4 linked regions of the Elephas maximus indicus genome follow. The protein of the gene in region 4 interacts with the protein of the main gene of each other region in a biochemical or structural test. Links are inferred from orthologs where the notes say so. Each region holds a gene or a part of one and is shown on either strand. Other genes may lie near its edges.

Region 1 (7,164 bases), on a different chromosome or scaffold from region 4:
TGTGTCTTACCCTCAGGGTCTTTGATCCCCCACGTCTGACCACCCAGGACACCTGAGCCCCCCCTCAGATTTGGACCCTTCAAGGCCTCTGCCCCAAGGACCAGAAAAAAAAAACAACAACGACAAAAAAAACAAACCGTTGCTGTCAAGTCGATTCTGACTCTTAACAACCCTATAGGACAGAATAGAACTGCCTCGTAGGGTTTCCAAGGAGCAGCTAATGGATTTGACTGTCGACCTTTTGGTTAGCAGCTCAGCTCTTTACACTATGCCACCAGGGGTGCCCCTGAGGACACATCACCCGAATATTTGACCCTCTCATACCTGACTCCCCAGGACCTCTGAACCCCTCATGCCTCATCTCCAGAGAGTTTGGCTCCTCATCTCATTTTACTGATGAGGAAAGTGTGTGTGTGTCGGGGGGTGGGGGGGGTCAGGTATATGTGTGTGTGCCTCTGATCCCTAACTATGTGTGATCCCCAAGACATCTGAGTACCCCAGGCTGTCTTCTCCCCCGGGACATGTAATACTCCCAGGCCTGCCCCCTATAATTTATGGGATCCTAGCTTCTTGACCTCCCAAGACCTCTGTCATCCCCAGGCTGGATGTCCCCCTAGAACACCTTGGACCCTCCAGCACCCTCCAAGCCCGAGAGATTCTTGACCTCTCTGGACTTATCAGCTCCCCTTGTCCTTGGGCCCCTCAGGGCCTCTGACCCCCAGGGCTCACCCTCCAGCCCCACATAGCCAGGCTTGGATAGAAAGGTCTCTCCTTCCAGGACCACCATGCACTGGTACCGCCCTGCGTCCGAGAGCTGCAGGGACGAGATTCTGACAGGACAGAGAGGTTCTAGGTCAGAGCCAGACACTGGTAAGGAGTGGTCAGAACTGAGATGGGGTGGGGGAAAACTGTAAGAACCATGAAATAGGTACTGTTATTATCTCATTTCACAGAAGGGGAAAGTGAAATCCAGAGGGTGACATAACATGCCGAAAGCCACACAGCTAGGAAGTGGCAAGGCTGGGATTCCCACCTGGGTGGTCTAGCTCCAGGCCCATGATTGTTTTACCCACCATATCAGTATGTGATGGAGGTAGGGGGCTAGGGAAGGACAGGGGTCAGGAGGGACGTGGGGGTCTTGGCTGGTGGAGGGAGACTGGACACCTGAGTTGGCTGACCACTTTCCATTCATCCTGTTCATCTTCGCCCAGGGGCACCTGGGTCTGGGTGGTGTCTGCCAGCTCCAGGACCTGTCCATCCTGGAGCCAGGTCACATCAGGGGGCTCCCCCTGGACCTGGAGCTCACACTGAAGGGCCCCTGTGAGTCCCCGGGCACCAGTGATGTTCCCTGGGCTCCCCACAAAAGGGTTCACCTCAGCCTTTGTGCCTGCAGGGGATACAGGGAAGAGTTAGCTTAGGGGTCCCCGCTTCGCTCTGGCCCCTCTGTTTCCTGTCCTGCTCCCCGCCTGCCCACCGGCTGCCAGGACCCCGCCAGGCCCTCAGGCCCACATAGCTAGAGAGTGACCTCAGAGGGGGTAGAGGGCGGAGGCTTTCGGGGGAGGATGGGAATCTCCCTAGGGGACTAGGTCACTTGTCTGTCCGTTGGGAAGTCTGCTGGGATCTGGCAGCCTCCCACGCCCTGGACTGCCCCCTGGACTGCCTGGCAGGGCAAGCTCCTGCCCCCTCTGCCTGGCCTTAGGGTCTCTAGAGACTTAACGCTCGGGGCTGGGTGGGTAGAGGGGAAGCCAAGGACTGGGAGGGATAGGGGAGAGAAACAGAGGACAGGCGAGAGAGAAGCCAGAGAGAGAAAGTCAGGCATGGGGAGTCAGAGACAGAGAGGCCCAGACGCATACACAGACACCCACACGCACACACACACTCCCCCAGGAGGAAGGAAGAGGAGATAGGCATACAGAAGGTGACTGAAGAGAGGAGACGGGTGACAGTGAGACAAAGCCCCCATCCCCAGAAACGGAGGTCTAAAGACAGACAGACAGCCGTGGGGGGGGGGCGGTGTGGGGGGGTAGTGGTCCTCTTTCCTCTCCCTGACTTTGGCGGGGGGGTTGCGGGGGGCAGAGGTCGTCTTTCTTCTCCCTGACTTTGTGCTCCTTTCTTTTGGGAGATTCCAGGCTACCCCCAGCTCAGCCCCTCTTCCCAAGGCCCCCGACTCAAGCCTAGCCTCCACCCCCCCACCCCAGCTTCTCCTTGGCTCTGTCCCGGAGCTTCTCGCCTTGTGTGTCTGTCTGTCTCTCCTCTCCGAGTGCATCTCTTCCCGTCTCTGGCCCTCTCGGTTTCTATTTCTTGTCCTCCTGTTCCTCTCTCTGAGGCTCTTTCTCTCCCTCTGCCCCTCTGGGTTGGTCTGAGTCTCTGGGTCTCTCTCTGTTGTCCCAGAATGCACACCCCCAACACCTGCCATCCACCCCCGATCCCGTGCTCCCCTCAGCCCCGCACCCGGCGCCCCCCACCCTGCAGTGGCCCTGCCCCACTAAGCCCCTGTCACTCACCCTTGAGGGCCACGCAGCCCCAGCAGCACAGCGCCAAGCACCAGGCCAGCGGGACCCTGCCCATCCTCGGGGACCACGCAGTTGATGCCAAACTTTCCTCACAAGTTCCCAGGCACCCCGCGGGGCAGGGGGCAGGGCCGGGCTGTCCCCAGCCCTCCCCCCAGCTCCGGGCTCCTCGGATTTGGCACTGCCCGCCTGGCACAGCAGGGGCCCCTGGCCGGCTCTACTCAGCAGCCTTGCCTGCTTCCCTGCCTTCTTCTCTCCCTCCCAGACTTTGGGGCAGCCCTTTCCCCGCCCCTGGCCCCCACTGCCTCCGCCCACCAGGGGGCCACCTGGGCAGTGAGGGGTTAACGCAGAGAGGAGTGGACCTGCCCTGTCTTAAAGGGGCCTTGGAGGGAGGCTGGGGAGGGGGAAGGGGGCCCTGGTGGCTGCGCCCCTAATCCTGGGCCGGGAGGCAGGAGGCTGTGTTTCTCTTCGGGGCTCTGGGCGCTGTCTCTCCGTGTCTGGTAAACATTCCTCCAGAAGTCCACTCCCCTCTCAGCCTGTGGGAACCCCCTCCCCGCCTCCACCCCCGGCCTGGCCACCGCCAGGCCTCCCTCGGCTGGCCCTTCACTCCCCCTCACTGTTACAGCTTCTCCTTGGACAGGGGCACACGCACACAGACACATAGGCACACACACGCACACACTCAGCTGTTGACACTCAGAGCTGGGACAGGCAGAGACATGCAGCAGTGTGCTGCTGGCCCGCAGACACACTCAGACAAGCCGGGTCAGAAACTCACTTCCAGAGAAACCTCAGAAACAGGAGGGCCCGACTGCGTTGGCCCATGGGGGACGCAGGGAGACAGGAGGGTCAGACACACAAAAAACACCCCACACGGACACATAGAGGGGACTGCAGTGTGTGGGCGCCCATGGGAACATGGAGCCTCAGACGCACAGAGTTACGCACACGTACAGATACACACACACACACACACACAGTCAGACGCGCAAGGAAACAGACGTATTCCCAGGCAGATGAGCACAGACACTCCAGAGTTACAGTCAGATGCGGGAACATGCAGGCCCACATATAGGCTGAGCGCATGGAAACACAGGCACAGATGGGCTGATACGCGTGGAAACAGAGTCACAGACGCAGAAATACTGAACCAAGGGTGTGTGCAGCTGTGCAGAAACACAGGTACGCAGGGGGTCAGACATGGGAATCAGCCATGTAGACACACACAGACACACACACACACACATAGACACACACACACCATAGCCAGACTGATACTGGTGGAAAAGCTATTCAGCTCTTGGTGTAACCCCATCTCCCAGCCCTGGACCCCCTAAAGCCCTCCAAACAGACCCTACACCTGTGACTTGCCCTTTCCCTACACCCTGTCCAGTAGGCAGAGGCCAGGGGAGTGGAGGGACACTTGAGTTTAAGGTCCTGGTCTTCACCATCTCTCTGGGGTTGGTGGTTACCAGGCTTCATCCATCCACATCCCCTCGTTCTGGGGCCTCCATGGTCCTCCAGAGATAGTGCAATAGAGCAAAGAGAACCCTAGGCCAGGAGGTGGGGTGGGCAGGACCCCCAAGTCCAAGATTTGCTGTGTGGCCTCAGGCTAGTCCCTTCCCCTCTCTGGGCCTGTATCCGCAGTATTGACAAGTTGGTCTCTATGGGTCTGGTGAGCTCTGGGGGTTTGCAGTTGCCAGGAGCAGGGATCTATATTTTCTCTCCCCTGACCTGGCACTCCACCAGGGTTGAGACTAGAATGCAGGCTATAGGTTGGTGAGCCCAGGCATAACCCCCTTGCTCCGGACCCTACTTTTCTGAATCTGAATGTCTTGTCCCCTCTGGGTCTGTTCCCCCAAGCACTTTGGAGCATGAGGCTCTGTCTAAAGCCTGGCCTGTGTCCAGAGGTATAACACATGGGGAGGTTTAGCTAATGGTTAAGACTGGGCGTGAAATCTCAGCCCTCCCACTAACTGTGTGATCTTGGGCAAGTGACTGGCCTCTTTGAGTCTTGGTTTGCCTATCTGTGAAATGGGAATAAGAATAGAACCCACTTGGCTAGGTAGTGGGAGGATGACATAGCAAAGTGTACGCAGTGCTTAGCACTTGGTGACGACTGCTCACGATTTTTCGAATCTTGTCTCTGGTTGTCTCTCTGTGTGCACTTGCTTATCTGTGTCTCCCTGCTGGGATTATGTGTCTTGGTCTGTCCCTGCAGACCCTGTAGTACCTTTGTGTGGACGGTGCTTTATGTCCAGCTCTGTGCCCCTATGGGGGTTCCTGAGGGTATTTAGAATTCTTGCCTTCCGTGTGGAGGCACTGGTTCCATTCCTGGCCGTGCACCTCAAGTGCAGCCACTACCTGTCTGTCAGTGGAGGCTTGGGTGTTGCTGTCATGGGCTGAATTGTGTCCCCCCAAAATATTTGTCAACTTGGTTAGGCCATGTTTCCCAGTATTGTGTGGTTGTCCACCATTTTGTGATCGTAATTTTATGTTAAACGGGATTAGGGTGGGATTGTAACATCTTTACCCAGGTCACATTCCTGATCCAATGTAGAGGTAGTTTCCTTGAAGTGTGGCCTGCACCACCTTTTATCTCTCAAGAGATAAAAAGGAAAGGGAAGTGAGCAGAGAGGGGGGACCTCATACCACCAATAAAGCAATGCCAGGAGCAGAGTGCACCCTTTGGACCCAGGGTCCCTACGCAGAGAAGCCCCTAGTCCCGGGGAGGTTTGATGAGAAGGCTGACAGAGACAGAGAAAGCTTCCCCTGGAGCTTATGTCCTGAATTTGAACTTTTAGCCTACTGGACTGTGAGAAAATGAATTTCTCTTTGTTAAAGCCATCCACTTGTGGTATTTCTGTTACAGCAGCACTAGATGACTAAGACAGTTGCTGTGATGCTGAACAGATTTCAACAGAGCTTCCAGATGAAGGTAGACTAGGAAGAAAGGCCTGATGATCTACTTGCAAAAATCACCCAATGAAAACCTGATGGCTCACAATGGTCTGATCCCCTTATATACGGGGTCACCATGAGTCAGGGCCAGCTCGAAGGCAGCTAACAACATGGGGGTCCCTGCATGCCTTGGGGGTCTCTACATCCATCTCCCTGCTCTTGGCCACTTCTGTTGGTCATCACAAAGATCTGTCCATTCAGTCACCTGTGACCCTTTCTCCACCCCAAATAGTCCAACTCCATTCTCTCCTGCTGGGGTACCTCCCTGGGATTCTGGCCTCCACTGTCTTCCCTCCAAACTGTCTCCCTTCCTGCAGCCAGTGGGGTGTTTTTGAAATTCAAATCTGACCCTGTTCCTCCCCTGCTTAACTGTGGCTTCCCACTGCCTCCAGGTAGCTCCTAGCCCCTTAGACGGGCATAAGTTGGGCAACCACGATCTGGCTTGCTGAACTGTCTCTTCATTGTCCCATCTCAGGGATGGCCCCTGAAGGCATTCTGGCACCCATGCCTGACTCTCGGGGTCCTCCAGGACAGTCCTACCCTGCAGGTAGTTACCAAGTCCCTTGGATTCAGCTTCACAAACCTCTCTCCCATCTACCTCTCTTCTCATCCCCACAATCATGCCCTGGTCCAGCCTGGTTCTTTGCCACTGGGATCCCTGCTCTGGCTTCCTCACTTGGCTCCTGGGCTTGTCCCTTGGTGCCTAGGCTCATCCACAGACTCTTGGGCTTCTCCCCAGACTCCTGGGCTCCTCCCTGGGCTCCTCGGCTCCTGGTCTCCTCCCTAGGCTCCTGGGCTCCTCCCTGGGCTCCTGGGCTCTTCCTCGAGCTCTTGGGCTCCTCCACAGGCTCCTGGGCTCCTCCCTGAGCTCTTGGGCTCCTCCCTAGGCTCCCGGACTCCTTCCTGAGTTCCTGGGCTTCTCCCTAGACTCCTGGGCCCCTCCCTAGGCTCCTGGGCTCCTCCTTGAGCCCCTGGGCTTCTCCGTGGGCTTTTGGGCTCCTCCGTGGGCTCCTGGACTCCTGCCTGGGCTCCTGGGCTTCTCCCCAGCTCCCCAGCTCCTCCCCGAGCCCCCGGGCTCATCTGAGGGCTCCTGGGATCCTCCCTGAGTTCCTGGGCTTCTCCCTAGGCTCCTGGGCTCCTCCTTGCACTCCTGAGCCCCTCCCTGGGTGCCTCCCCAGACTCCTGAACTCCTCCCTGGGCTCTTCCCCCAGCTCCTGGGCTCCTCCCCGGGCTCTTCCCCAGGCTCCTGAACTACTCTGCTTGGGCTCCACGCTTCCTGTCTCACTCCTTCCGACCTGTCTCCTATTCAGCAGCCACAAGGATGTTTCTCAATCACAAATCAAACCTTTCCCTTCCTGCCCCAAACTTCCCAGGACAAAACCCCAAACTCCTCACCAAGGCCTAAAAGGGCCCCCTACCCCTCTCCTCAACACTCCCATCCCTCCCCAGTCTTCTTTCACTTCCTCACAGACCTCAGAACATGCTCCCGCCGCTATTGGTCCCACACATAGGAAAGCCACAAAGTTCCTAAAAGAATTATACCAGCTTGGATTGAGGGAGACAGAAATCCTACTTGGGGGGTCTTTTCCCTCCAAATTTCCACAGGCAGAAAGCAGGTTGAGATTATTGTTGTTGTGAGCTGCTGTCGAGTCTGCCTGACTCATGAAGACCCATGCACAACAGAACACACCAC
Region 2 (7,433 bases), on a different chromosome or scaffold from region 4:
TAAGGAAATACTCAGGATCATTAGCCATTAGAGAATGCAAATCAAAACTACACTGAGATACCATCTCACCCCAACAAAGCTAGCACTAATCCAAAAACACAAAATGATAAATGTTGGAGAGATTGTGGAGAGATTGAAACACTTATATACTGCTGGTAGGAGTGTAAAATGGTACAACCACTTTGGAAGTTGATTTGATGCTTCCTTAAAAAGCTAGAAGTACCATAGAAAAATAAGAGCACTCACACAAATAGATATATGCACACTCACGCTCATTGCAGCAACGTTCACAACAGCAAAAAGGTGGAAACAACCTAGGTGCCCATCAAACAATGAATGGATAAACAAATTATGGTATATTCACACAATAGAATACTATGCAACAATGAAGAACAATGATGAATCTGCAAAACATCTAATAACATGGATGAATCTGGAAGGCATTATGCTGGTTGAAATTAGTAAGTCACAAAAGGACAAATATTGTATGAGACCACTATTATAAAAACTCCAGAAAATGTTTAAACACAGAAGAAAACATTCTTTGATGGTTAAGGGTGGAAGTAGAGAAGAATTATCTTAGGCGGACAACACACTGTTCAGGGGAAGTCAGCACAACTGGACTAGACCAAAAGCTAAGGAATTTCCTGAATATGACCAAACACTTCGAGGAACAGAATAGCACTGGTGGGGATCTGGGGAACCATGGTTTCAGGGGACTTCTAGGTCAATTGGCATAACAAAGTTTATTAAGAAAATGTCCTGCATCCCGCTTTGGTGAGTGGTGTCTGTGGTCTTAAAACTAGTGAGTGGCCACCTAAGATGCATCAGTTGATCCCGACCAACCTGGAGTAAAGGAGAATGAAGAACACCAAAGACACAAGGAAAATATTAGCCCAAGAAACAAAAAGGGCCACATAAATCAGAGACTCCATTAGCCTGAGACCAGAAGAACTAGATGGTGCCTGGCTACCACCAATGAACACCCTAATAGGGAGTACAACAAAGAGTCCCTGATGGAGCAGGAAAAAAGTAGGGTGCAGAACTCAAATTCTAGTAAAAAAACCAGAATTAATGGTCCGACTGAGACTGGAGGGACCCCAGAAGACAAGGCCCCAGGACTCTCTGTTAACCCAGAACTAAAACCATTCCCAAAGCCAACACTGGACTATAAGACATAAAATGATACTCATGAAGAGTGCGCTTCTTAGGTCAAGTAGATACATGAGACTGATGGGCAGCTCCTATTCAGAGGTCAGATGAGAAGGTAGAAAGGAATAGGAGCTTTTTGAATGGACATGGGAAATCCGGGGTGGAAAGGAGGAGTGTGCTGACATATTATAGGGATAGCAACTTGGGTCACATAACAATGTGTGCATAAATTTTTATATGAGAAACTAACTTGAGCTGTAAACTTACACTTAAAGCACAATTAAAAAAAAAAGAACAAACAATTTTAGCATAACATAGTTTATAAGGAAAATGTTCTACATTCTACATTGGTGAGTAGCCTCTGGGGTCTTAAAGAAAAGATTATTTTTCCTAATTAGCAGTGTTCTAGTAGTGCCTCGAACTGTGAAGGGGTCTTTATTGTGCTGAGGGGTATGTGTTTTTTCCCCCATGATTTGGCTAAATGTGATGTTTGGCGGCATTACCAAAGAGGGACACAAGTGTTTAAAGCCTGCTCTCCTTGTCTCTATTTCAGTTCAGATTGTCCCTAAGCTTGGGGGACAGTGGGTGTGTCAGGGGCAGGGATGGGGCTTCTGAGTCCTCCTAGAACAATATGAATCAAGAGAAGAAGCAGGGCCGAGGAAGATGTACAAATACAGCATAGTTCTTATTGGAGAATCGTGGAAGTTTGAGATAAAAAGCGGAGGGTCCTAGCCTGAGGCAGAGGGTCCCGCAGTCCAGCGGTGGAATCTCTGAGAGATATTAGATGTCAAGCACAGAATTTGTGCTTTTCTCTGCAGCCCTTCTCCTCCCTACCAACTGGTTTATTCTTAACAGAAGAAGGTCAATTCCATTGTCTGTAGTTGAATTATTTGGGAGAGATCTGATAAACTAACAACAACTAACATTTCTTGAGGGCTTACTTTGTTGCCGGAGTCCACGGGTTGTGCGATAGCTAAGCGTTTGAAAACCTACTAACGGAAGGGTTGGTGGGTCGAGTCCACCCAGAGGAGCCTCTGAAGAAAGACTTAGTGATCTACTTCTGAAAAATCAGCCGTTGGAAACCCTATGCACAGTTCTACTTTGAAACACATGGGGTGGCCACAAGCCTAAAAGACTTGATGGCAACAGTTTTTATTTATGTATTTTTGGTTTCACCTTGTTGCCAGGGACTCTTCTAAAGGTATCTTATACTTTGACTCATTTAATCCCCACAGAGCCTTGTAAGGTAAGTACTATTATGATCATGCACATTTGGGGGATGAGGAAACTGAGGCACAGAAAATAGAAAGCGACCTGTCCAAATCACAGAGATAATAAGTGATGGAGCTGGAAGCTGCACCCAGGCAGTTTAACTCCAGGGCCCATTCTTACCCATCATGCAATACTACCTCTCTATCCTCCCACCCAGGATGTAGTCTATTTTTCCATGTATTTGCATCTTTGCCATTTTCAGTAAAATTTTGTAATTTTTAAAATATACACCTGTATAATTCTTGTTAGAGTTATTTTAGTATATTTTAAGGGCTTTTTATGAGTGTGGTAGAATTCTTAAAATTATATTTTCTAGCTAATTATTATTTAAACTTACTGTCTTAGTTTTTTCTCAGTCTGTCTTAGTTATCTAGTGCTGCTATAACAGAAATACCACAAGTGGATTGCTTTAACAAACAGAAATTTATTCTCTCACAGTTTAGGAGGCTAGAAGGCCGAACTCAGAGCACCAGCTCAGGGAGAGGGATTTCTTTCTCTGTTTATCTTCCCCTGGGTGTAGGAGTTTTCTCAGCACAAGGACCTCAGGTCCAAAGGACACGCTCTACTCTTGGCTCTTCTTTCTTGGTGTTAGGAGGTCCCTCTCTCTCTGCTCCTCTCTCTCACCTCTTATCTCTTACAAGATAAAAGATGATGCAGGCCATACCCCAAGAAAACTCCCCTTATTGGATTGAGGGCTGTAACCTGAGTAAGGGTGTTACATCCCACCCTAATCCTCTTTAACTTAAACTAATCTTGCCTCATTAACTACAGGCAAAGATTAGGATTTAAAACACATAGGAAAAGTACATCAGATCACAAAATTGAGGATAAGCACAGAATACCAGGAATCATGGCTTAGCCAAGTTGACCCATATTTAGGGGAGACACAATTCAATCCATGACACTGCCTTTAATGACTACAACCAAAGCCACATGTGAGTTCAAGAATTAAATTTGAATTTCAAATAAGCAACCTTTTTTTTAGTATGTTTCATACAATATTTGAGGCATACTTATACTAAAAATTATTCATTATTTATCTGAAATTCAAATTTAACTGAGTGTCCTGTGTTTTACCTGGCAACCCTAAAAGGAGCTGCAAACAGAAATTCCTACAGTGGTCAGGAAGCCATTTCCCACATGTGGTGGTGTGTGACACATAGTCGGGGGTGGGGACCCTGGGTGACCTGGAGCTTCAGGGCTCTGTCCACGTGGGCAGCTGCTACCCAGCTCACACCAACTGGGTTTGCAGAGATGGTCTTGAGTGTGCCCAGTCTTCTAATGTTTCAAGACAGAATTAAAACCTGTATTTTTGATGTGGAATCTCCTGATTTTAAAGGTAGACAGCCAATTAGAAGAAAAACATTGTGAGGTACAAATGAAACAGGCCTGTGGGTTCTGTAAGGCCTACGGGCCACAGGTTTGCAACTTCTGATCTAATCTCTAGATAGTGGGTGGGGCAGGGTTTTTTCTCCTGTAAATTCTGGTGTTTTGCAATGTCAGGGTAAACAGTATTTGGGTTAGGGGAAGGGATGGCAGCTCATGCAAAAGGTAAGATGTGGAAGTGGTTCCTCTGGCCACAACTCAATGGTCTCTCCCCTCAGTGCTTGAAAGCGCCCCGCTGGCCAACCTCTCTGCAGTTAGGCAGCAGGTTATGCCCACCAGGCTGGCCCCTGATTCTTACCTGCTCCAGCAGGTCTGAGAAAGAGGAGCCTAACCTACCAGCCTTTTCAGGTAGCAAAGCAACAGCAACTGGGACTTTGAATGCTTTCGTCAGAAAATTGTGGGTAGAAGCTTACAGCGGTTTACCCTGAGCTCCTTGAGGCTTTCAACTTCAGGCGCAAATTGCTCCGAGCTCCTTGAGGCTTCTCAGCTTCAGACGTAAAGTGAGTGGGTGTTTCTCTGAGAAACAGAAAGAGATCGAGAGAAGTGTTTCCCTTAGCTGTGGAAACTCTATAAAGAGAGCTCCGGCTTCCCTTTTCTTGAGCACTTAGCAACAGGAGTCCCCTCCTCTGACACCTCAGCCTACACAGGATCGAGAAGAAGTAAAATTCTTTGCCTGGAGGGTGCCCTGAGTTCCTGGCTGCCATGTGGCAGCCACTGAATTACCCATATCCCCAAATCTACTGGGTGGACAGCAGCTCCAGCTCTCCTTTGGCCCCTCCAGGGTCTGCTCTCCCCTGCCCTTCCTCTGTGCCTGGAAGACCCGGCCAAATGAGGCCACCACCACCCCCACCGCCACCGCTGCCACCACGGCCACCACTGCCTCCATTCCCACCATCACTTCTGAAGAAGAGACGGAATCCCAACACAGGCCTATATCTCCTCGTAATGTTTTTCATGGTTCTGGTGGCCCTGGTTGGACTGGGGCTGGGGTTGTTCCAGCTCTTCCACCTGCAGAAGGAGCTGGCTGAACTCAGAGAGGTAAGCCTGGCCTGAGGGGGGCTGCGTGCTGGGCTCACCAAGACAGCTCTGTGCAGTGGGGGCCGAGGACCACTGTGGCCCACTGCTTTCTTTGCCAAGTGCTTCTCAATCTTTTTTTTCCTCTCTTGGAAATGGGTTATTACGCTCATTCCATTCTACAGGCAGAGAAATAGAGAGCCATACATGTGAGGGGATTTTTTTTTTCCTCTGTCTTATAAAGGATCAGGGCCAAGATAGGATTAGCATTTACAATTCCTTTCTCAGTTGGCTAATCAGTCTGCCTAGCTATTTACTGCCTAACACCTAGTGAGTCAAAAAATAAAATAAACATTGATTCTTGCTTAGAAGTGGATTAGTTCAAATGGCCAAACTAAATCTCCTTGAAAATCCTTTAAAAATACTAGTACTATTCCAAATCACAAAACTGAGCTAGAAAGGGCACAACTGCTTGGCAAAAGTCTGAGATCAGAGAGATTCTGAGGTATTTGGGTTCTCTTTCCAGGGCTTGGTTTTTTTTGACAATCCTGCCTCCTTTGCCTAAAGGTCTTCATATTTATTACATATCTTTTCTCTTTTGCCAGTCCACCCGCCTAAGCCCTGTAGCATCATCTCTGGAGAAGCAAATAGGTGAGTCCTTTTATGTACATACATTGAATTCTCAAAGATAGTCCTCAACACTAAACAATGTTGGTGCAGTGGCTTGCAATCCTTCTCATTCCTGGGCATGTATATACTACGAGAGGGAGCCCGGCTAATTCCAAACCTCTGGTCATTACGGTTTATTCTGCTACTTTAAAATATGAAGTGAATTTAATTGTTCAAAATCAGTGTAGCTGAGTACTGTACAGAATTCAAAATAACTTGTACTTGACCTTGGATGGAGACACACACACACCCTGAACTTTTGCCTCCTGAACTGCTGGCTCCAGGCCTGTCCCCTTCCTCAGGCCTCCTGAGTCCGGTGCCCATGGCAGTGATTGTAACTCCCAGGGAGACAGAGTGGGGTGGAGACAGAGAAGGTGTTTCTGGGAAATGTTCTTTCCTTTTTAAACTTTCTAAAAGAGATTACTCAAGAGTCAAACTCTATTTTAAAAAAATATTTTATAAACTAAACTCAGCTTGTAATAACAGTACAGCCAATCACCTTCATTAGGATGGTTCTTCTGGAATGACTGGAAAGTTTAGGGAAGCCTAGCAACTATTCAAAGGAAAGTCCAGCTTCACACCTAGAAGCAGTCATGTGCTCATATCCTTTGTATGAGACTCAGGACAGGAAGAAGGTAAAGTTGTTGAACAGTGACCTCATGAAGCTTCAGGCCATAGTTTTTGAAGTGCTGAACAGATAGATTTTTAGGATATTCCCAATCTGTCTTAAACTAAGATTCATTGAACTCATAAGATTTGGTTAGAGTTGAAAGGGAGCTTAGAGCTTATTTGATCCAGCTCATTTTCCAGAAAAGAAACAAAATACCAGACAGATTAGGTGATATTCCCAAGACCACTGACATGGACCTCAGACTAGAGGAAACAAAGCTTTTGACGCTTCGTCACCTGTGGGGCCTTCCAGCATGCGGACTGGTGCCTCATAGGATAAGGAAAAGCCTGTCTCTCTGATGGCCATGGAATGAGAAATAAGAGGAAAGGCAGGATGCCTCTGCAAGTAGGCACATCTCATCCCTGGAAACCGAGCAGAACACAGAAGGCAGAGCTGGCCAGCCATTCGGTGGAGCGTGCTTGGGTTCTTAGGGGGTGCCTACTACAGGCAGCCCAGGTACCTTGCTGTCCTCGGTTGTAAGTTCTTGCAGGAGCAGGTGCTCTGGAACCCAGTTCTGGGTCAGAGCCCCTAAGTGTTAGAAAGTCCAGACATACACAAGCAGAGAGGAAATATTTGTTAGAAAAATGAAGACTTTGGAAGACTTCTAGAAGGAAGTAGCTTTGAAAACCAGTGGAATGGGGCTGGTGAAGAAGGCGCCTTATTACTCATCTCTCACCTACTCAGTGGAGTCATTTTAGTGAGGAAAAGTCAAACGAACAGATGACTCAGGTCTACCTACCCCAGGAAACATGTATCTTCTCTAGATTGACCCAGGTCAACCTGAAATGGGTGAAATATCACATGGAAATCAAGGTAGTAACTTTATCAGTAGGATAAGAAATTCAAATGGAGATAGGGGATACCTATTTTCATACATCAAATTGGTAAAGATTTAAAAAAAAAAAAAAGGATAATACCCAGATTGGCAAAGAGATGAGAGAAAAGGGCTTCCTTCAACATTAGTTGACAACCAGTGGCAATATAAATTGCTATAATTTTTCTGAAGAACAGTTTGGAAAAAGATATCAATAACCTAAAAGTGTTAACTTACCTTGAAATCAACGCAATATGAATTTGTCTTGAGAAAATAATCAAAGACATGCCTGGAGATTTATATAGAAGGAAGAAACCTCATGCCTTATAACAGAAGAGTAGTTAAATATAGTGAATTTAGATGAGAGAATACTATGCAGCAACTAAAAACTGTATGTTAGAAGGACATTTAATGCCACAGGGACTGCTATTGCATATTTTTAGATGAAAAGGCAAG
Region 3 (6,966 bases), on a different chromosome or scaffold from region 4:
ACTATATGGCTGCTATGGGTCAGAATCGACTCGATGGCAATGGGTTTGGTTTTTTGGGTTTTACCACCAAATCAATAGAGTTAAAAGAAAAAAAAGTGCTTTCTGTTTTACCATATTCATCACGAAAACAGTTGGTTTGAGAATGTACTTACTCACAGTATTTGCTGCATCAAAACTTTTCTTTAACCAGATAATTAAGATGACTTTATTTTAAAGAGAAAAATATGAAATTTAAGTGTACCCTCTAACATTTATTTAGGGAACCAAACAAACACCTTTTAATCTGTCAACAAATTATTTAAAGTCATGGCACCTTAAAAATAAAATTCTCAGGCATATCAAAGCTCTCCAGAGAAGACTGCCAAAATACAATTATTTTTAACCCCTCGAGATCCTTTTGAAGGAAACAAACAAAATGGATAGAGGAAAACATCATCTAGATTGGATTTTGTTCTTACAGAATAACAAAGGCCAAAAGAGTGTGCTCAGAGCTGAAGGACCCAGGAAAGAACACTGGATCTGGGGGAGACCTGGGTTCAAATTTCACTTACCAGCTGCTCATCTGAAGCAGACTGCTCAAACTCTATAAGCCTCAGTTTCCTCGTCTGTAAAAATGGGTTTCATAGCTGTTACTCAAGGGCTCCTAACAATTAAGTGGGAGTACCTGGGCTGGTACCTGGCCTTAGGCTACCTTTCCAGTGAATCACAGCAACTTCCTCCTACACAGCCTGTCCTGGAGCATGACAATCCTATAGCCAAGCTGAATGAGGCTTATTATATTTTGCTTGGCTCATAGCAGTTTTTGGTTTGCTTGCTTGTTTTTAGTGTGTGTAATTAATTAACTACTGTCAGCATTTACACAAAAGAGCCCTGGTGGCGCAGTGGTTAAAGCAATTGACTGCTAACCAAAAAGTTCAGCTGTTCAAAACCACCAGTGGCTCTATGAGAGAAAAGATGTAGCAGTCTGCTTCCATAGGGATTTACAGCCTTGGAAACCCTATGGAATCACTGAGTCGGAATCAACTCGATGGCAGTAGGTTTAAGTTTGGGAGATATTTACAAAACCAGGAGAGTAAACACAAAAATCTGGAATTCTAGCTTCTTTTAAAAAATTGCTGGGTGGGGTTCTGGTAGTCCAGGGCCCCCACCACTCCGTGCTCTCTTACACCTGGCCTTGTGGCGGACTTCCAGCTCCATACTGGGCTAAAGCCTGACCCCCAACCTCGTCATACTTCCGTGCCTCTCCTTGCCTGGCAAACTTCTCAGCATCCTTCAAGGCCCAACCCCAACACCACCTGTTGCCTCCTCCACTATAGCAGTCATCATGCTGTCCTGGGACAAACTGTCTGCATGTCTGCTTTCCCTGCTGGGCTCTCTGGGGGAAGGGACCCTGTCGCCATCTCATTTGTGTCCCCAAGGCCTAGCACAAAACCTGACCTAGATAATCTAGAACTCCATAAATGTCTACTGAATGGAAGGAAGATGGAGCTAAAATATCACATGCTTTCATATCGACAGCTTGTTCCGACAGTTACCAAATAAAGAGGTCAAGAACATTAAAACGTTTCACAAAATGAGAACAAGCTTCCATCTGCTTATAGGTCTCACAAGTTAATCAGAAGTCACTAAATTAAAAGATAAACCAGAGGCAATAGGGAGGCAGGGTCATTCCTTAAAGCATCCATTCATTCATTCAACTGATATTACTAAGTACTTACTGTGTGCTTTCTAAGCAGTTGGGATAAAGCAGTGAGCAAATCAGACAACTACCTGTTTTCCTAGTGCTTACATCCTAGCAGGAGAAACAGAAAATAAACAGGCAGACAAACAGAACAGTTTCAAGCCAGAATATACCACTGGGAATAAAATTAAACAAAGGAGACAGAATGACTAAAGAAAGAAAGAGGGTGGTCAAGGAAGGCCTCACAGAAAACATACGACCAGAGATGTCCAGAGAAACGAACACCAAGGAGTCAGCTGTGTAAAGATCCAGAAGACAACTCCAAACACAAGAAACAGCAATTGCAAAGGTCTTGAGGTGTATGAGGCTTGGAATTTTCAAGGCAGGTGAGGTGAGTGGGATAGGAGCACACTGCTATGGATGGAAGGGACGGGAGAGGAGGTGGGCAGGGCCGCTCAGGCGCTGCCAGGGGCATTGAGTGTGCAATAACAAGGCACTGGAAGAGTGCAAGGGCTGGAGGCTGGGAGGGATGGGATTGTCCTGCCACTCACACCTGCAAGGGGCACCATCCTGCCCGATTTCCCACAAATGTGTACAAGGCTCACGCACTTTCACACACCGCCACAAACCTGACAACCACTCTGTACAAAAGTGTTGACAATTCGTCCTTTTCCCGATGGGTAAACTGAGGCATGGTGAGGGTCAGTGCCTTGGCCAAGGTCGCAGGGACCAGACCCGGAGCTCCTGAGCATCGCAGCACCGGTGTGTGTGCAGCTGCGCGCCCCGGAGTCAGGAGGGGTGGCACCCGCAGACCCCTTCCTGCGCCCCCACCCCCCACAACTCCTCACCCCCGGGCAGGTCTGTCGGGGCCAGGCCCGGAAGCCTGCCAACACCCGGGACTGCTAACAGCTGGGAGGAAGGGGGCGATTGCGGCAGCCTCTAGGGCAGGGGCGGCGGCCCGGACCGCCAGCTCCCCGCAGGCCCTGGCCCACCCCGCGGCCTGCATCCGGCAGCCCTGCGCCCACTCCGCAAAGCCCGGCCGCTAGCCCTCCCGCCGCCCCTTGCCGGAGGGGTCCGGACCAAGCAGCCCCCGCCGGGCCTAGCCTTCTCGCCACCCGCCGCGCTCACCTCGCCTCCCCGCCGCCGCGCCAAGGGGAGAGGGCGGGCGGGCAGACTGGCAGCGCTGCGCGCTGGCAGTTCCCGGATCCGCTGCCCCCGGGCTCGGCCGGCCGCCCCGCCCCGCTACGCCCAGCCGCCGCAGTGGGTGTGAGGGGCTCCGGGGCGCTTCGACCCTTCCGGTCGGGTTCCCTCCGCAGCCGCCGCCGCCGCGGCGCCTTTCCTGACTGACCGGAGGGCCAACCAATCAGCTCGCGGAAAGCCGGGCCGACGCGGCCAATTGCGCCAGGAGGCCCACCCGCTGCTGGGCGGTGCTGGCGAGGCGGCAGGTGGGGCGGCAGGCGGAGCCTGCGGCCGGGTCGGTTGCCTGAGGTCTCGGTTGGGGTATGGCGGGGCTCAGCGTCTCTGAGACCGTGCGCTTGCTCGGGCCACGCAGCCGCCGCATACAGACCTGCCTAGTGCGTACCATGGGCTGGAGGCGCAAGCATGACTCGGCCCGCCCCCCAAGCCCGGCAAGAAGGGCTCGGCACGACGACCGGACGCGGACCCGGGAGGCGGCGGAGAGGGTAGACAAAACCGAGATCCGGGCCGGAGGCGGACCTGGCTGGGGCGCCTCACCGCAGTGGGGCCGAGCAGGAGCCAGCCTCGGGGCTGCGGGTTCAGGCTCGCAGGGACCAGGCGTCCCGGAGGTGGACTGAGAGCCGGCCCGTTTCGGGGAGAACCCGGGCGAAGGCGAGGGGAGGCTGGGGCCGGGTCGCCCGGGAATCGGCGTGAAACGGCCCTGGGGGAAGTGGGAGGAGAGGCGCAGGGCCTTTCGACTACGCTGCTCACTGCAGCTGGGGGAGCTGCGCGCCTCAGTGAAGGGGCTTTTCGGGGATGCGGTCAGAATCCAGTTGTTGCAGGGGAGGCCCGAGGAGATGGAGAGCTTCTGTGTAGACAATCTCTCCCAGTTGATCAGCGACTGAGGGAAGGAGAGGATGGACTGGTGCGTCTGGTGGCAGGGCTGAAACGAACGGGGTCCAATCCCTCGGTCTTAGAGGAGAAGGGCAAAACCGTAAATGGAGGGTGTTAGTGCTGGTGGCGCAATGGTCAAAGCGCTTGGCTGCTAACCAAAAGGTAGACGGTTCCAACCCACCAGCTGCTCCGCGGGAGAAAAGACCTGAATATCTGTTCATGTAAAGATACAGCCTAGAAAGCCTTATGGGGTTCTGTCCTAGGGGGTCGCTATGAGTCGGAATTGGCTGGAGGGTACACAACGAGAGTGCTGAGGGCCCGCTAGTGACTGGGGTCTGTTGACACTGAGCTTTTGGGGCTTCTCCTGCAGCCCTCAAGGCCCTCGGGTCAGGTAACTGCCGGCTTAGTGTCTTAGAAGATGAGAGTTTATCTGGTGCTGTGGCTAAGTAAAGACGGAAGTGAAGCAAGGACGCTGAATGCGTTTAGAGAAAGCTTGAGGCCAATGGATGGGGTGTGAGTGGGGGGAGTTAGACTTTGGGGATGGGAAGAGTAGGAGATGGTGCTTGGCAAATGGTGACCTTGGAGAAGGAGCAACAGTCCTAGGATGCCAGGGTCCATGGAGTGACTAGGGGTAAGGGATAAGGTAGGAAGAAGAAGCAGGACCCCGTAGATGGGTGGTCAAGGGACTGAGAGGCATGGGTGGCAGAACTTGGGGAAGGCAGCAAGACTGACTAGGTATCAAGGGGACCCGAGTGCCGAGCAAGGCTGGTGGCACCACTAGGGTCTCAGAGGAGGGGTGGGGTAGAGGAAGGGATCGAGTCATGGTGTCCCCATTAGGCCACCCTCCCCCCCCACTATGGCCACCAAAGGGAGGTTTCTAAAACTAACTATAGCTCTTGAGTGTGGCCTTCAATGGAGGGCCCACCTAATGGGTTCCTGCTGATACTTCATTGACGCCTACCACCTGCTTCGGGCACCCTGACTTCATTTGCACTCCAGAAAACAGAGAATGAAAAATGCCACCATCAGGGATTTGGGGAAACTAGTAAAAGCCTGGCTGTCAGTTGTAATTCTACCAAGGAGCATTTGTGGAACCTTCTGGTCAGATTAGGAAGGGAGCACCAATTCCCAGACACATACTGTGCCCGATTTTACAACATCCACCTTTAAAATGCACCCTTTACCCTATGCAAAGTGAGTAACCAGCATAGCAAAACTACAATGAGATACCATCTCATTGTTAAAATAAATAAATGTTGGAGACCTTTCGAGGAGATTAGAACTCTTACGCACTGTGGGTGGGAATGTAAAGTGGCACAACTACTATGGAAAACGATGTAGTGCCTTCTTAAAAAGCTAGAAATACCATACAATTCAGCAATTCCATTCCTAGGAGTATTAAAAAAAAAAAAAAAGAAATAAGAGCTGTCACATGAGTAGACGTATGCACACCCATGTTCATCACAACACTATTCACAATGGCAAAAGGATGGAAACAGCTTAAGTGCCCATCAGTAGATGAATGGATACACAAATTATGGTACATACACACAATGGAATACTACGCAATGATAAAGAACAATGATGAATCTGTGAAACATCTCATGACGTGGATGAATCTGGAGGGTATGCTGAGTGAAATAAGTCAAACACAAAGACAAAATACTGTACACGATCACTGTTATAAAAACTCAAGAAAAGGTTTACACACAGAAAAAAACATTCTTTGATGGTTACGAGGGAGGGGAGGGATGAGGAGGACAAATCACTATATAGTAGAAAAGTGTCAGCTCTGGTGAAGGGAAAGACAACACACAATATAGGGGAAGTCAGCACAACTTGACCAAGGCAAAGTCGTAGAAGTTTCCTAGATACATCCAAACACCTTGAGGACTGAGTTGCTGGGGCTGAGGGCTGGGGACCAGAGTCTTGGGGGACACCTGGGTCAGTTGGCATAATACAGTTCGTAAAGAAAATGTTCTACATCCTACTTTCGTGTATAGCATCTGGGGTCTTAAAAGCTTGCAAGTAGATGTATCTATGATACATCTATTGGTCTCATCCTGTCCGTAGCAAAGGAGAATGAAGAAAACCAAAGACACAAGGAAAATAATTTGCCCAAAGGACTAAAGGACCACATGAACCACAGCCATCACTAGCCTGAGCCCAGAAGACCTAGATGGTGTCCTGCTACCACCACAGACCAATTCTGACAGGTATCACGATAGAGAGCCCCAGACAGAGGGGGAGAAAAATGTAGAACAGAGTTCAAATTCACAAAAAAAAACCAGATTTACTGGCTTGACAGAGACTGGAGGAACCGCTGAGACTATGGTCCTGGACACCCTGCTAACTCAGAACTGAAGGCACTCCCAAAGCCCGCTTTTCAGCCATTAGACAGGTCTATAAAACAACACACGTGAGGAACGTGTTTCTTAGTTCAATTAAATATATGAGACTTAGTTATGTAGTGCTGCTATAGTAGAAATACCTCAAGTGGATGGCTTTAGCAAACAAGTTTATTCTCTTACAGTCTAGTAGGCTTGAAGCCTTAATTCAGAGTGCCAGCTCCAGGGGAAGGCTTTTAGTCTTCCTCAGGGCTGGAGGGACGCCCTTGTCATCAATCTTCCCTTGGTCCAGGAGCTTCTCCAGGCAGGAACCCTGGGTCCAAAGGATGTGCTCCACTCCAGGTGCTGCTTTCTTGGTGGTATGAGGGCCCCCCTCCCGATCTGATTCTCTCTTTTAGACCCCAAAAAAGATTGACTCAAGATACAACCTAATCTTGTAGATTGAGTTCTGCCTTATTAACATGACTGCCTCTAATCCTGCCTTATTAACATCATGGAGGTAGGATTTACAACACAAAGGAAAATCACATCAGATGACAAAATGGTGAACAAGCACACAATACTGGGAATCATGGCCTAGCCAAGTTGACACAAATTTTGGGGGGACACAATTTAATCCATAATAGAGACCAAATGGGCAACTCCTCCCCAAAAGCAAGACGAGAAGGTAGGAAGGAGCAGGAAAACTGGACTAATGGACATGGGGAACCCAGGGTGGAAAGAGGGAGAGTGCTGTCACATTGCTGGGATTGCAACTGATGTCACAACAATATGTGTATAAGTTTTTGATTGGGAAACAATTGAGCTGTAAACTTTCACCTAAAGCACAATAAAATTAAAAAACAAAGAAACTAAAAAATCACTGCA
Region 4 (7,564 bases):
TTTGGGCCCACAGACCATCTGCACCAAATCACCCCATTCAGAGACTGATTTACCGTGGGGTGCCCCCTGGAGTTCTACAACATAGTGGCCTTAGGCCCAAAACTTGATTTTAAATAAGCTCCCCAGGTGATTCTTACGCATACCAAATTTTAAGAATCGCTGCTGTACTACAAAAGGGTGCCTTAACCAAATGTTAAAATTTGCATTCCTGATAGTATACTACAATGTTTTTGCATAAAGTGAAAATAATATGTATTCAACTGGCACAACTGGGAAAAAGGCAGCCTCGACAAATTTAAGAAAAAAGAAAAGCATCTCAATGGTCATTCAGTAGTGCTGCAGGATACTTCTGGAGTCAGGGAACTTCATTTCTCTCAGGAGAGTATGGTGGTTTTCAATTCTGTATTAACCCCATTTCTCCAAAATACGTGACTCTTCTCATTTACGCAACAATTAGAACACACTTGCTGCACAGCCAACATGATAATAAGAAACACTGAAAAGTTATCATTAACTAATATAGCATTCAAATTAAAAAAAAAACTAATACCATTCAAAAATTTTAAAAAGTACGCCTCCCAAATCTGAATACACTTGCTGAGGAAGTAAACTGTCTCGAACATTTATTTAAACGCTTGATTTTGGCATCAAAGAAGGCTGATTACAAGAATTAATGTCTTTTTTTAATCTTGGGATTCATAAATTATAAACACCGGAAGGGGCAACAGAACAAATCAAGGTATTTCTTTTTGGCAAAAAAAAAAAAAACGACTAATTACAACAGATAGAGAAAGGAGTCTGATAAAGAAAAAAGAAGTACCCTGGTGGCCCAGTGGTTAAGAGCTACAGCTGCTAACTAAAAGGTCGGCAGTTTGAATCCACCAGCCACTCCTTAAAAGCCCTACGGTGCGGTTCTACTCTGCCCTATAGGGTCGCTATGGGTCGGAATCGACTCGACAGCAAGGGGTTTGGTTTTCTGGTTTTTATATGACACGGTGGCTGCAACAATGGGCTCAAGCACAGCAAAGAGATTGTGAGGATGGCGCAGGACCGGCAGTGTTCAGTCGCTGTGAGTCGGAACTGACTTGATGGCAACTGACAACAATCACACTGGCTTGGCTTTAACTGATTTATCAATGGTCTGAATAAATTTTATTCCCATACATTTTTCTCATCTTTATTCTAACACAGGTTTATAACCGATTTTCATCTTTTAGCATTAACCACCCCCACTAAAAATTATAAAGAAGTCATCTAAGCCCCAAATGGACCCCATCTTCCTCACAAGTATAAAAGACACACAGGAAGAGAAGCAAAAGCGGGCACAAAAACACGACCATAAAGTGAAGGAAAAGCGAAAACACACGTAACAGAAGCAAACCACACCTGGACCTAGCGGCAGTATCGATTGCTTACTGATGAATTCAATTCTTTGAGCCTACCAGTTCCCAGGGGGAGAACTCCAGTGTCACACGGCTCTCTAGCAACCCTGCTGGCTGACTGAAGGAACACAGTGGAAGCTTAAAAGTAAAGGAATGAAAGCAGGAAAGCGGGTGTTTTCCCGTGCAAGAAAACGGGATCTTTAAATGAGGGAGAAAACGAACTGCGCCCAACGGCAGAAACCTCTTTTGAAAGAAAAACTGTACCGAGAGGGGAGAGGAAAGAGGAAGGGGAAGTAGGTTAGGGAAGAAAAAAAGGGGGGGGAGGCAAATGACTTGCATTACACAAGTAAGCATTTAGCGTCTGTAGGGCAAGTGAGAGAAGCAGCAATAAACGGAAGGCAATAACTGAAAAAGCACAACGACAGACAAGAAAGCCAAAATAGATTAACGCTAATTTCTCTCGTCTCTTTGACTCTTTTCCGAGTCAACAGCACCCAAAGTTAGACCTCCAGTGCACTTCAGCTCCTCTGCAAATTGCATTTTTATAACACTTGAAATCAGCCTTGGATAAGTTTCTAAACAAGCCGTAAGTCAGATAGTTTACAGCTATATATACACGCAGAGCGTTCCCAACGACAAATACCAGGACTTCCCTCTGGCCGAAATCTTTCCTCGGAGCGTGCCAGCCAACTGCTGCTTATTTTTCCTGACATATTTTTTAAAGAGACGCTCGAAAAGTTAGAGATAGAAATAAAGGGCATCCTTACTGGCTCCGGAAACCCTGGTGGCGTAGTGGTTAATAGTTCCGCTGCTAACCAAAAGGTTGGCAGTTCGAATCCACCAGGCGCTCCTTGGAAACACTGTGGGGCAGTTATACTCTCGCTATAGGGTCGCTATGAGTCGGAATCACTCGACGGCAACGGGTTGGGCTTGATTTTCTACTGGCTCCGGCAGCAAACGTTCTAGCTCCCGGTACTAACAGGGTTAGTGGATTCCCTTGCAAAATTCGGGCCAAAGACACCGAGAGATGGTGACGTGGTGGCCGTTCAGGTCGCAGGAGCATCCCCGCGCTTGCAGCCTGATCCGGATCCCCCACCTCCAGGGCGAAGTCAGGCTGACTCACAGAATTAGCACCCAGGGCCTCTCCGGCTCCTCCCGGGCCCCATCTGCGCACACCCTCACCATGAAGGCACTAGATTTAACCGAGAGGCACCCAGAGAGCCCCCGGCCCCTTCCCCCGGGTCGCGACTCTGCCCAGAGCCAAAAGCCGTGGGAGGACGGTGCCCAGAAAGGAACCACCCCAAAAAGGGAAGCATGGAGTCGGAACCTCGGGGATTCCGCCCTTCGTCGCCCGCCCGGACTCCCGGGCCCGGCCGGGTGCCGCCTCCCGCTGCCGAGCGGGGAGGAAGAAGCATCGGAGCAGCGCCGAGCGACGCCGCCCGAACTCACCGTGGCGCAGCGACTCCGCTCCGGCCCGACCGGCCCCTCCGAGCGGTGCGAGCGGCCGCCGATCCCGCTGCTACTCCCCGAGGGCAGCTCCTGTTCCCGCCGCCGTCACCCCCACAGCCGCCGGGTCGCAGAAGCAGCAGAGCCGCCTCGCTTCCGCTCCTCGTCGGGGTCCCGCGAGAACTGCCGCGTACCGCCCCCGCGAGACTCCCCCCGGCGGAAGAGGCCCAAAGCGCAAGCGCACCTCCGCGGCCGGGCCTCCGCGAATGGAGCCGAGCGGCGTGCCAGGGCGCACGCGTCAGACCGCCCCGCAGCCCGTGGCACCGGGCTGGCTCCGCCCCCGGGCCGCTGTAACCCGCTCGGTGCCAGAGCGAGTAAATTACGCCTCAGACCTGAAGGTGTACTTCTTGCCAGACCGTAATCACTTTCCGTTTCCCTTTCAGCAACCCAAGGTAATGAAACAAAACAAAACAAAAACAAAAACGCTCCCTGCAGTATGAAGCTTCTCCAAATAGAGAACCAGGTCTTGAAATGTTTGAGAGTCCGGTCCATACAAACTGCAGTGTTGGGTGAATTAACGCTCTGGTTCACTTTGATGGAATCGTGTGCCTACTATGTGCTAAGTATATAAGATACAATGACGAACAAAAATCCGGCCCTCGAGGAATCCACAGCCTAGAGAAGTTGAACAAAAGTAAGCAAATAATGCTATAAGCACTGCTGTAATTATTTGGGGATTGCGGAAAACGGGAAAAGGATGGAAGGAGGGGTCACCATTCAGCCCACGGTAGAAAACCTTCACAGAAAAGGTGATGTGACGTTTGAGCTGAGTCTTGGAGGACGAGTAGGAGTTCGCCAGGGTAAGGGCATCCCAGGCAACGGTAACAGAGGCGGGAGAGAATGTCCTGTGCTGTGCTATGCTAAGTAGTTCGATGGTTGCACGAGGCGGGTGAGTACCCTGGAGTGGCAGAAGCTGAGACTTGGAGAAAAAACTCCTCTTTTCAGTTCCAAACGCGTATTCCAATTAAAGGAGGCAACAGAACACATCTAACGTGAATGTGCTCTCTGGAAACCGGCAAAATGGCATGGTGATGAGAATAACCAAACATCTGATTCTATAGAGAAAATAAGCCTATTGAAATAAGGAAGAGGAATTGTTCTTTCACCAGATATTTATTGATCAGCAATTGCTGGCAATGCACTCTGCAGGCTAAAAGATGAACCAGACAGAACCTCCGCTTTCAGCAGTTTACGATTTAGAGAAGAGTTGCCTAGTCTGCAAGTCGAAGTCGCTGGCACCAAGTACCACTGAACGACCTATAGGACTGCTGAGGAGGGAGCCATTACAGTTCTCGTGCTGAAGTAGTCAGGGAGGACGTGGTGTTTCAGCTGGAATTTGAAAGCAGAGAGGAAAAATGATGGATCAGCCAATATTTCAGACTGGCCATAGCCCAGGATTTGGGGAAGGAATAAGGAGATAGTGGCCAAGAAGCTTAGCTTAGGTTTAAGTGATGTGCAACCTCTGATGGTTTGTAAGTAGATATCTGACGTGAGATGGTAATAACAAGAGGACCATCTATTTAGCACCTGATATGTACTAAAGTCACAGCTCATGTATAAACCCATTGCTGTCGAATTGACTCCCACTCATAGCAACCCTATAGGACAGAGTACAACTGCCCCAAACGGTTTTCAACGAGCGCCTGGTGGATTTGAACTGCCAACCATTTGGTTAGCAGTGGAACTCTCAACCACTACGCCACCAGGGTTTCCCAGTTCATGTATAGAGTGGTTAATATCCCCATTTTACAAATTTAGAAACTGGGGCATAGTGAGGTTAGTAACTTACCCAAAGAAACCACATATAGCAGACCCAAGATTTGAACCCATCTTGTTTCAAAAACACATGTTCCCCCCCCCCCCACTATTACACTCTGTTCTAGAATGGCGGCCAGAAAAATAGACATGGAAGGGAAGGACTAAACCATAACCAGTTAACCAATTTCCATAGAGTCCATTCCAACTCACGATGACCCCCTGTGTGTCAGAGTAGAACTGTGCTCTATAGGTTCTTTTTTTATTTTTATTTTTTAATGCAGTTTAGGAGGAAGTTTACAGAACAAATTAGTTTCTCATTCAAACACAAATTGTTTTGTGACATTGATTGTAATTCCTGCAGTGTGTCGGCCCTGCCCCATTTTCCTCTTGGGGTTCCCCTTTTCCATTCTTCCAGTTTTCTGTCCCTGACTTCTTGTCTTTGCTTTGGGTCAGGTTTTGACCAATTGGTCTCCTATACTTGATTGATCTAAGACGCATACTCCTCACGTGTGTTACTGTTTGTTTTATAGGCCTGACGGCACTGGGTTTGTTTTTTTTTTTAATCTTTGGCTGAGAAGTGAACTTCGGGAGTGGCTTCAGTTCTGAGTTAAAAGGGTGTCCAGGGGCCATAGTCTTGGGGATTCCTCCAATCTCTGTCAGACCAATAAGTCTGATCTCGTTTGTGAATTTGAATTTGTTCCACATTTTTCTCCTGCTCTGTCTGGAACCCTCTATTGTGATCCCTGCCAGAGCAATCAGTGGTGGTAGCTGGGCATCATTCAGTTCTTCTGGTCTCAGGCTGGTGGAGGCAGTGGTCCATGTGGCCCATTAGTCCTTTGGACTAATATTTTCCTTGTGTCTTTGGTTTTCTTCATTCTCCTTTGCTCCAGATGGAATGGGACCAATATATGTAGATGGCCATTTACAGGCTTTTAAGACCCCAGACACTACTCACCAAAGTGAGATGTAGAACATTTTCTTTATGAACTATGCTGTGCCAATTGATCTAGATGTTCCCCGAGACCGCAATCCTCAACCTGCTCTATAGGTTTTCAGTGACTGACTTTTATCACGTAGATTACGAGGCCTTTCTTCTGAGGTGTCTCTGGGTGGACTTGAATCTCCAACCTTTTGGTTAGCTGCCAAGAGCATTAACTGTTAGCACCACGCAGAGGCTCTGAGACCCTGGTTAGCCAGTCTAAGAGGGAACGAGTATTCCAGATGGAGGGTACAGCATGTGCAAGGGCCGGACAGTAAGAGAGAACTCAAGGATGCCAGTTCTAGCTGCGAAGAAGAAGGCAAAGGGAAGAAGAACGTGGCATATGTCTGGAGGTCAGAGAGCTCATGTGGGGCCTTTTCAGCATTGCTGAAGACTTGAAACTTGGTTCTCTAGGATATTCAAGCAGAGATGGGCCATGGTCAGATACTTCAAAATTCTTTGTCATGCTGGCTGCAGAGTGGAAAATCAATTGGAACTGAGATATTTATCAACTACAAGATAGTATCTCAAGTCCTTTCTGAGGCCCTTGTTTTTTTGATATCTGGCCCCTGTTCCCCAGCCCCACCCACCTTTCCTCAACCAACCCAACCTTCCCCCCTTCCCCCAACACAGGCTCCACCAATACTAAACCCTTTGTGGTTTCCGGAGAGTGTCAGATCTTCTGAGTGTCCTTATCTTTGCACATGCTGTTTCCTCTGCCTGGTTGGCCTTCTCCCCTTCTTTAGTTCTCCAAGTCAGCCTTAGGGCTCCTTCTCCAGAATTCCCATCATACATCTCATTTCACTGCATTATTACTATTTGCTTGCTTTCCTGCCCCCTAATGGTCTGCAAGCTCCAGGACAAACACCTTTTCATGTTTGTATTCCCAGCAACCAGCACAGTGCCTGGTACAAAATAGGATTCACAGAGTGACTAAGTAGATGGATGAATGAACACATGGATAGATGGCTGAAGAATGAAGGTTGACTAGAGATAAACCTGTGGCTGCTCTTCTGTGCAGTGATGGTATTTGAAGCTAAGGAAGTAAGATCTCAGAAGAGACTAGATGCCTAAGAGAGCAGAAAAAAAAGTTATGTACTTCCTTTTAAAATGCAGCATTGATAAAACCGTCTCTGAGTATTCCTATGTAAAATTATATGCATATGGACCAGATTTGGAAGGGAATATTTAAAAATAAAAATATTTGTGTTGAAATGGAGCAATTGTGGGTGACCAAAAAAAAAAAACAGTGCTACATTATCTTTTCATTACTTTTTGTTATTGTTCTGCAGACGCAGACTCTGAAGCTTGAGAGAGCATTGCCAGAGATCATTCCCCACAGAGAAAACACAGAAGAGGCAGTAGTGTTTTGAATGCGTATGGCCGCCAACGTTAAATTCTGAAAACGAGGGAAGAAGCAAGCTGTGAAGTCAAAGTCACGCCCTGATGTGAAAACCTGTTATAACTGTTGCGAAACTTGCTGATTACAAACTGGCTACATCAGTTATTTCATAATGCATAAATTAATCATCAAAAAGTCTCTCTTTGGGGTTTGCGGTTCATTTTAGTCGACAGGTAGAGTATCTTGCTTTGCTTTCTGGGAGTTATGGTACTGCCACCTCGAGGTGAAAACTGGATATTGCCCTGAAATTTACTTACCTTGGAGGTCTGTGAAGGTCTGTAGTACAAACGGTTAACAGGCTGGGCTACAAAATGAAAGGTTGGTGGTTTGCATTGGCCTAGAGGCCGCTAGGAAAAAAGCCTTGAAGACCTACTTCCAAAAAGTCAGCCATTGAAAACCCTATGAAGCACAGTTCTACTCCGCAACACATGGGGTCGCCCTCAGTCAAAATTTGCTCCACCGCAATTTTTTTTTTTTTTTTTTGGAGGCCTGTATACAATTAGCCTTACATCTAACCTTCTCCCCTAGAAGTAGGCT

Evidence for each region.
Region 1: the proteins of GRB2 (region 4) and AXL form a complex in vitro, tested with the Homo sapiens proteins (2 studies listed by BioGRID, with this or other methods). The link is inferred for Elephas maximus indicus from reciprocal best matches to the Homo sapiens genes GRB2 and AXL.
Region 2: the proteins of GRB2 (region 4) and FASLG form a complex in vitro, tested with the Homo sapiens proteins (2 studies listed by BioGRID). The link is inferred for Elephas maximus indicus from reciprocal best matches to the Homo sapiens genes GRB2 and FASLG.
Region 3: the proteins of GRB2 (region 4) and MAPK9 form a complex in vitro, tested with the Homo sapiens proteins (2 studies listed by BioGRID). The link is inferred for Elephas maximus indicus from reciprocal best matches to the Homo sapiens genes GRB2 and MAPK9.

What each region holds. Positions count from the first base shown.
Region 1 is NC_064829.1:109,947,738-109,954,901, forward strand, and holds the start of AXL (tyrosine-protein kinase receptor UFO), read right to left. Parts: upstream 3,021-7,164; 5' UTR 2,569-3,020; coding exon 2,505-2,568; intron 1,388-2,504; coding exon 1,165-1,387; intron 831-1,164; coding exon 730-830; intron 1-729. UniProt on the Homo sapiens protein: Receptor tyrosine kinase that transduces signals from the extracellular matrix into the cytoplasm by binding growth factor GAS6 and which is thus regulating many physiological processes including cell survival, cell proliferation, migration and differentiation.
Region 2 is NC_064821.1:210,464,807-210,472,239, reverse strand, and holds the start of FASLG (tumor necrosis factor ligand superfamily member 6), read left to right. Parts: upstream 1-4,414; 5' UTR 4,415-4,512; coding exon 4,513-4,848; intron 4,849-5,429; coding exon 5,430-5,475; intron 5,476-7,433. UniProt on the Homo sapiens protein: Cytokine that binds to TNFRSF6/FAS, a receptor that transduces the apoptotic signal into cells. Involved in cytotoxic T-cell-mediated apoptosis, natural killer cell-mediated apoptosis and in T-cell development.
Region 3 is NC_064820.1:202,713,837-202,720,802, forward strand, and holds the start of MAPK9 (mitogen-activated protein kinase 9), read right to left. Parts: upstream 3,016-6,966; 5' UTR 2,810-3,015; intron 1-2,809. UniProt on the Homo sapiens protein: Serine/threonine-protein kinase involved in various processes such as cell proliferation, differentiation, migration, transformation and programmed cell death.
Region 4 is NC_064837.1:65,722,139-65,729,702, forward strand, and holds the start of GRB2 (growth factor receptor-bound protein 2), read right to left. Parts: upstream 3,021-7,564; 5' UTR 2,832-3,020; intron 1-2,831. UniProt on the Homo sapiens protein: Non-enzymatic adapter protein that plays a pivotal role in precisely regulated signaling cascades from cell surface receptors to cellular responses, including signaling transduction and gene expression.